2 linked regions of the Arabidopsis thaliana genome follow. The protein of the gene in region 2 interacts with the protein of the main gene of each other region in a biochemical or structural test. Each region holds a gene or a part of one and is shown on either strand. Other genes may lie near its edges.

What was found.
Region 1: the proteins of AT3G60750 (region 2) and AT3G11630 form a complex in vitro, tested with the Arabidopsis thaliana proteins (one large-scale study listed by BioGRID).

Annotation. Positions count from the first base shown.
Region 1 is NC_003074.8:3,670,184-3,674,108, forward strand, and holds the start of AT3G11630 (Thioredoxin superfamily protein), read left to right. Parts: upstream 1-1,852; 5' UTR 1,853-2,005; coding exon 2,006-2,212; intron 2,213-2,595; coding exon 2,596-2,670; intron 2,671-2,831; coding exon 2,832-2,913; intron 2,914-3,008; coding exon 3,009-3,088; intron 3,089-3,212; coding exon 3,213-3,338; intron 3,339-3,432; coding exon 3,433-3,546; intron 3,547-3,637; coding exon 3,638-3,754; 3' UTR 3,755-3,925. Other genes in the region: AT3G11620 (alpha/beta-Hydrolases superfamily protein), read right to left, coding at 87-234, 326-408, 506-565, 695-745, 852-902, 1,013-1,041, 1,165-1,236, 1,318-1,391 and 1 more. UniProt on the Arabidopsis thaliana protein: Thiol-specific peroxidase that catalyzes the reduction of hydrogen peroxide and organic hydroperoxides to water and alcohols, respectively. Plays a role in cell protection against oxidative stress by detoxifying peroxides.
Region 2 is NC_003074.8:22,452,086-22,456,010, forward strand, and holds the start of AT3G60750 (Transketolase), read left to right. Parts: upstream 1-1,582; 5' UTR 1,583-1,918; coding exon 1,919-2,401; intron 2,402-2,552; coding exon 2,553-2,643; intron 2,644-2,746; coding exon 2,747-2,852; intron 2,853-2,940; coding exon 2,941-3,223; intron 3,224-3,304; coding exon 3,305-3,453; intron 3,454-3,539; coding exon 3,540-3,693; intron 3,694-3,779; coding exon 3,780-3,925. Other genes in the region: TTN1 (ARM repeat superfamily protein), read right to left, coding at 121-223, 379-926, 1,025-1,240. UniProt on the Arabidopsis thaliana protein: Catalyzes the reversible transfer of a two-carbon ketol group from fructose-6-phosphate or sedoheptulose-7-phosphate to glyceraldehyde-3-phosphate to yield xylulose-5-phosphate and erythrose-4-phosphate or ribose-5-phosphate, respectively.

The sequences.
Region 1 (3,925 bases), about 19 Mb from region 2:
AGATGTAATGGCCATCTTCAAGTCTTTATACAACTAGGTTCAAGTGTAAAACCCAAGAAAATCAGTGAATATGAGATAATCAATACCTGCCTCAAGTGAGTGCAGGTAGCTTGAACAGCAGTATCAGACCATGAAGCTCCAATGGATTTAGATACAAGCAGCCGTGCAGCTGACATAGGTAAAAGTCTCAGCGATGCAATCAGAAAACTTGCTGTAGCCGACAGAACAGAAGACCTGCACAACATGATAACGATTTCACAACATTCTAAATAAAGACTGATTGGTTCTTTCCTATCGAGGATTCGTATTGAGAACAAAAGCTCACGCTGCAAGTTTGCCAATTAATGATTGCTTTGTTGATTGTTGGTTCAAAGTCAAAAATGGATATAGGCCAATGCAATATACCACCTGCAAAGCATTCCAGAGAATAATATAAGAAAAATCACATAGCACTGAAAGAAATTGTGATGGAGAAAGTACTACTCTTAGAGGAAGCCATCTATACCTTGTCCGAGAATTTCTTCAATAACTCAAGGGATATATAAGACCCAATAGAATGCCCAACCTACCAAGATCAATTAAGCTTAGAGTTGTAAATTTTCATGAAAATCTGGAAATCCATCCAACTAATGGACATATATATTTTGGTCATAAGAAGCAATATGTCAATGGCTTATACACATGACAGTCTTACCAATATTATTGGAACTTTCACACTCTCCAACTCCTGTCTGATAAAATCAATCTGTATGATAACTAACAGATTAAGATCTTAACTTCACAGGATGAACAATACAAGAACCTAAAGGCTTTCAAATCCAAGAGCAATGAAGAAAAATGATTTTTATTACCTTATGATCAATTTGTTCTTGAAATGAAAATAGCCTCCCAGACTCCCAGTCCTAAAAGTGAAAATAATCAAGTATCATGAAAGCCTATCAAACTAAGATATTATATGAAGAGAACCATCAAAGTTTACACACAGTAAAACCTGAAACCAAAGTTAACGTACCTTGCTCGTGTGAGATATTTGCCCAATAGCTACACAAATAAAACAAACCACTCCACCATTAGAGATCAGAAGAACAAACTCAAACTCAGAAATAAACAGCTTCCATCTTAAGGACTCAAAGAAATCAAACTCGAAAAGTAGAGCAGCCATACCAATTACAGAAGCATTTCCACCAAGAAACTCGTATAAAGATTCCAAAAAGTCCTTGTAAAATGACACAACTCCTGAAAAATTACAAGCCAATGTATGAAGCACACTAGTATATACACGTGCATGCATAAGAGTCTTGAGCATAATAATGAAACCTGGATTTCCCGGAATAAACAATACATGGAATGTGGGATTCTCAGCTTGAATTTCCATCATCTCCGTCATCGAACTTTGATCACAAATACAAAAAACAAAACAAAAAGTGTAACTATAGTCAAAGAAATTAGAAAATTTCGTAAAAGATTAATGTAACAATACCCAGAAACTCTGCACAATCTGGATTTAACATGTCTTTTAGTTTCATTCATCAATTTGTTTTGAGTCTCCATGTCTCCGGTCACGCGATTCAACTTATATCTTCTCTCAGAACTGTCAACACTTGAAAGGAGAAGATCGAGAGAATTAATGAGACAACAGAGAAACCACTAAAAATCAAAACTTTGCAAAATAAGTGAAGAAGCCTTTTAAAGTAAACCAAGTGAAGAGAGCACAACAATGCACCTGAAACAACAGGAGTAGATTAGATACTTTGGAGAACTGAACCACCGATCGGAGGAAGAAAGTAACGGAGAGACGGAGTTACCCAAGGTAGAAGAAGAAGACGCATATTTGCAGCAATAGTAATACGACCTCGTTTTGAGTAACGCGACGTCGTTTTATGAGTTTGGGTGTCGTCAGGCTTATCTCCACCTCATACTTCCACTACAAAGAGAGGTGATTGACAGATAGATAAGAGTGTTTGGTAGCTCAGACTCAGAGAGTCACAAAGTGTGTGTAGCAGCAATGGCGTCTGTTGCTTCTTCAACTACTCTCATCTCTTCTCCCTCTTCTAGGGTTTTTCCAGCAAAGTCTTCACTTTCCTCTCCATCTGTTTCTTTCCTTCGAACCCTTTCTTCTCCTTCCGCATCTGCTTCTCTCCGCTCCGGATTTGCTCGACGCTCTTCCCTCAGCTCCACTTCTCGTCGGAGCTTTGCTGTCAAAGCCCAGGCCGTAAGTTTATCTAAATGTCGATACTTTTCTTATTCGATGTCATTGAAATCTGAATTCATTAGCCTGTTATAGATTTCACTCTCTTCCTACTTGTTAGCCCTATAGGTTTTGGGGAAATAGTTAACGATTTATAGGTTATGCGACCGTGTTTCTGCAGATTACTCGAAAAGTTCAGAAATTTGAGTGACATTTTCGTTTAGGGTTGTTAATTTCTCTGGTGAAGTGAAATTGAGTGACATATGAGCTATACTCATTGACTGATTAGTATGTTCGGATGAGGTCTATGTAGTTTTGGTATAGTACCATGGTTATCTGATTGTCAATTTGACTGATCTTTCTCCTTAGATTTGATGTGTTAACGAGTTTTAATTTGGTGATTATAGGATGATCTTCCACTGGTTGGAAACAAGGCGCCTGATTTTGAGGCAGAGGCTGTGTTTGATCAAGAGTTCATCAAGGTACTTACAGCAGTTATCAATCACAGTTGCTGCTTCTAGTTAATCTGAGATTAAGTTTAGTTTTGAAGCTGAATGAGTAGTCTTTAGTGTTTTTTATTTAGTGAGTATATGTCTTATTGTGATTGGAAACTAATTGGTAACTGATGAATGTATGGTTTCAGGTTAAGCTCTCTGATTACATTGGAAAGAAGTATGTGATTCTCTTTTTCTACCCATTGGACTTTACTTTCGTCTGCCCAACAGGTTAGCATTGCTCGAGAAGTATATCAAAATTGAATATCCAAGGTTCCCTCATCCTTGAGTCCTAATCTTTCTCATTTTTTCCTTATGTCTTTTAGAGATTACTGCCTTCAGTGACCGGCATTCAGAATTTGAGAAGTTGAACACCGAAGTATTAGGTGTTTCTGTCGATAGTGTGGTAAGTATCACTATACATTTACTATGTTCTCATTTTACTCAGTTCCTCATCCTTGGTTGACATCACCATGTTCTTATCTGTTTGCAAATTTTTGATTCATTCTTATTTCTGTGTGTCCTCGTAGTTCTCTCACCTTGCATGGGTCCAAACAGACAGGAAATCTGGAGGGCTTGGTGATCTGAACTATCCCCTTATTTCAGATGTCACTAAATCAATCTCAAAGTCGTTCGGAGTGCTCATCCATGATCAGGTAATTGTTAGCCTTTAAATCTTGGCTACCTTCCTTTAAACTTTCGAAGTGTTTGGGATAAATGAAAACAAGAACTTTGTTTGTGTAAGAACAGGGAATAGCACTGAGAGGACTTTTCATAATCGACAAGGAAGGAGTGATCCAACATTCCACCATCAACAATCTTGGTATTGGCCGAAGCGTTGATGAGACAATGAGAACCCTCCAGGTAAAGATACAAATAAATACACACAACTCCAAAAACCGCTCTTTCCTTTCACTCGATTTCCGGTATGCTTAATACGTTTTCAATGTTGCAGGCATTACAGTACATCCAGGAAAACCCGGATGAAGTCTGCCCAGCAGGATGGAAGCCGGGTGAGAAGTCAATGAAACCCGACCCAAAACTCAGCAAAGAGTACTTCTCAGCTATTTAGAAACTCTACTATGATAGCAAAAAGGTACAATCTTTGTTATATGTGAGCAGAGTTTTTTTTCTTGTACGCTAAAACAATCCTTTGTTTGATTCTCACTTTGTCCCCAAAATTATAATAAAAAACTTTTTCCGTTAATGGAAGTCTTATTGTGTTACGCCTACAAATTCATAT
Region 2 (3,925 bases):
AGATACAAAACAGATAAGTCAAATTGATTATGTACTTTACAGACATCTATATATGTTTGACGTGTTAAGTATGGACCAAAGTTAAAACAAAGAGAATTCCAGGTTACAAACAGAATAAACCTTAAAAATGGCAGATAGAGCTTCCATTACACCAAGCAAGCGAAAGTGGTTCGTGACACTATCTTCCTTACAAGACAAAACTTCATATGTCCACTCAAAAAAGCTGAAACGGAAATGCCACAATAGAATAAAGAAAATTAGTTAATCCATTCACGGTGAGTAAATTGTACATGTTACAATTGAAAACAGCAGTTTAGAAACAATCTTAAGTGTTCAAAGTGAAACAACACTGAAGCACTGATGGTGGTAGGAACAGACCTCGAAAAAGCTTTTCCCATATCCGGACGAGTTAAAAGCTTAGAGAGTAGCAACCCCGATATCCTGCGCATTGGTCCAGCACTGCACAGATAGTCCTTACAGAAACCTAATATCTTCAATACCAAAGGAGCAAGGTCATCCACACCAAAGGTCTTGTCATCAGCAATGCTTGTATCAACAGAAGAAATATCAAACGGAACCAACACAAGGATTGAAAGCCACAAAAGAGTAACACATTTGGCCTCCATTTCTCCAGTGCTTTCTTGCCTCAAGGCAGAAACAGAATTTGTACTATGGCACTTCTCGAGGAGCAAAACGGCGAGTTCCAGATCGGATACTTGATGCGGAAAGAACTTGATAACAGCTTTGTACCCACATACAGTAACTAAAGCATAGATAATGATGCTTATTGGCTTAATAATCTCAAGAATTTCATCAGGTTTGGCCTCTAAATCAACTGTTTTGGAGCGGATGATAAACATTAATGGAGAAACTATACTCTCTAAGTAAGGTTCCACTAATTGACCTTGCTCCTGGTATTTATCCATCTACAATACAACAAAACAAAGTCGGAGAAAGTAAATCAACATGATACTGAAACATGGGTTGGATCAAGTAGATGAAGTCAAAAGACTAAGAAGCGTACAATGGATCGGATCTTATGAACAGAAGTAGGATCAACAACACGGCCATTTGAAACAATATCATCGAGAAGAGATTTAACGAGCTTCCATTCTTGTAAAAAATACCTCTGTAGAACTCTCTCCTTAGAATCATGCTCATCGTCTTCTTCCTCTTCAATTTTTACCGCCGTTTCGATTTCGATCTTCGTCGGCGACATTTCCTCTGCTCTAGATGCCATTACTGGAAAGAGAAAGGGGTTCAATAAATTCCCGCCCGCCGATAATACTCTCAGTGTAGAACCACCGGCAAATCACGAGATCGGTGACGTCGACGATGAGTTTACATGTTAAGGCCCATAGTAATTTATTGGGCCTATATACCCATGTTCCTATTTTGGGCCTATAACCTTCCTCAATGTAGCTTCGTTGGTCTAGATTTTCCATCTTTGGGTGCTTTTATAAACCGGCTTAACCAGAGTTGGTAGGCTTGATACTTGAATCTCTTTCTGGTTTTGTATATTCAAGAATAAGCAAACATTTCCTTAAAAATAACTTTTTTTTTGTCGTACCTCATTTTAAAAAAGATATTTTATCCTATTTCATTATGGCGGAATATCCAAAGAACAAAAAATGGTAGTAATAAAAATAGCGAAAGGCATAGAGGATCACTAAACTCTTAGCCTTAATCAGCGGTCAAGATTATACCTTTTAGTGAGATCCAACGGTCATATTTGATCCAAGTTGTCCCTTAGTGAAAACGAAGAGATGGCGAAATTTTGTTTGATTGGCTAAAAATCAACACACTGATAAAATAAGAGTTGCAGAGAGAGTCTCTCATCTTCTTCATTTCTTCACCACCATCATCACACACCTTCTTCTTCTTCTTCTTCTCTCTCTATCACAAGAGAGTCAAATCCATGGCTTCTACTTCTTCCCTCGCTCTCTCTCAAGCTCTCCTAGCTCGTGCAATCTCTCACCATGGTTCTGACCAACGTGGATCTTTACCAGCTTTCTCTGGACTCAAATCCACCGGTTCACGCGCCTCAGCTTCGTCTCGTCGACGTATCGCTCAATCCATGACCAAAAACCGATCTCTCCGTCCTCTTGTTCGCGCTGCAGCTGTTGAGACTGTTGAGCCAACCACTGATTCGTCGATTGTGGACAAATCGGTCAACTCGATTAGGTTTTTGGCTATCGATGCGGTGGAGAAGGCCAAATCAGGTCATCCTGGTCTTCCTATGGGTTGTGCTCCGATGGCTCACATTTTGTATGATGAGGTCATGAGGTATAACCCCAAGAACCCTTATTGGTTCAACCGTGACCGATTCGTTCTATCTGCTGGACATGGATGTATGTTGCTCTACGCGTTGCTTCATCTTGCCGGCTACGACAGCGTCCAGGTCTGTGATCTCTTCTCTGTTTAATTGCTTTCGATCTGATCGTAATTGATGAATGTAGTAACTTTAGTGGATAGATTGAATCTGTTTTGATATTCATCTGATGGCTGCTTGAAGTAGATTCACTGAAAAGGTGTTTGGATTTGTTTATTAGGAGGAAGATTTGAAGCAGTTCCGTCAATGGGGAAGCAAGACACCAGGACATCCTGAGAATTTCGAGACTCCTGGAATTGAAGTCACTACTGGTTTGAGATTTTGCTTCTTTTGGCTTATGGTTCATGTGAAATTTCACAGAAACTATCTATAACTGTATTTACAATTGTGCTCTCTGCTTTGGCTGCTATGCAGGTCCTCTTGGACAAGGAATCGCTAATGCTGTTGGTTTAGCTCTTGCTGAGAAGCATTTGGCTGCTAGATTCAACAAACCTGATGCTGAAGTAGTCGACCACTACACGTAATATATATAACCCATAGTTATGTTGTCGTTCTTGGTTTGTATATAGCTCTGATAATAGAAATACTGTTTTTGATTGATTGTCTAGATATGCGATCCTTGGAGATGGTTGTCAGATGGAGGGTATTTCTAATGAAGCTTGCTCTCTAGCTGGCCATTGGGGACTTGGAAAGCTCATTGCTTTCTACGATGACAATCACATTTCTATAGATGGAGACACAGAAATTGCCTTCACTGAGAACGTGGACCAGCGATTTGAAGCCCTTGGATGGCATGTTATCTGGGTGAAGAATGGAAACACTGGGTATGACGAGATCCGTGCTGCCATTAAGGAAGCTAAAACTGTTACTGACAAGCCTACTTTGATCAAGGTAACTACACAATTTCTTAACCATCAAACATCGGTTGGTCTAAAGACCTTTGATATTGATTTACCATATTGCGTAATCCAGGTCACTACTACCATTGGTTATGGGTCTCCCAACAAGGCGAACTCATACAGTGTCCATGGAGCTGCACTTGGCGAGAAGGAAGTTGAGGCTACCAGAAATAACCTTGGATGGCCGTATGAGCCGTTCCAGGTACCTGACGATGTAAAAAGGTTAGTAAATCCAAAGCAGGCTTATGTTTGGTTTTATTGCTTTGAAGTTGCCTTGATGACTTACTGTTTGACTTGCACTTCTCTAGCCACTGGAGTCGTCATACACCTGAAGGAGCTACTCTTGAATCTGACTGGAGTGCAAAGTTTGCAGCATATGAAAAGAAGTACCCAGAGGAAGCTTCTGAGTTGAAATCTATTATCACTGGTGAATTACCTGCTGGCTGGGAGAAGGCTCTACCTGTAAGTAGAACTCTCTTTGCATTCTGTACAATTCAATTGGTATTCTAGATATGAGTTATAGAACATCTTTCTTTTTCCTTTTTTAGACATACACACCAGAGTCTCCAGGTGATGCCACCAGAAACCTGTCACAGCAATGTCTTAACGCCCTTGCTAAAGTTGTTCCCGGTTTCCTTGGTGGAAGTGCTGACCTTGCATCATCCAACATGACATTGCTGAAAGCCTTTGGCGA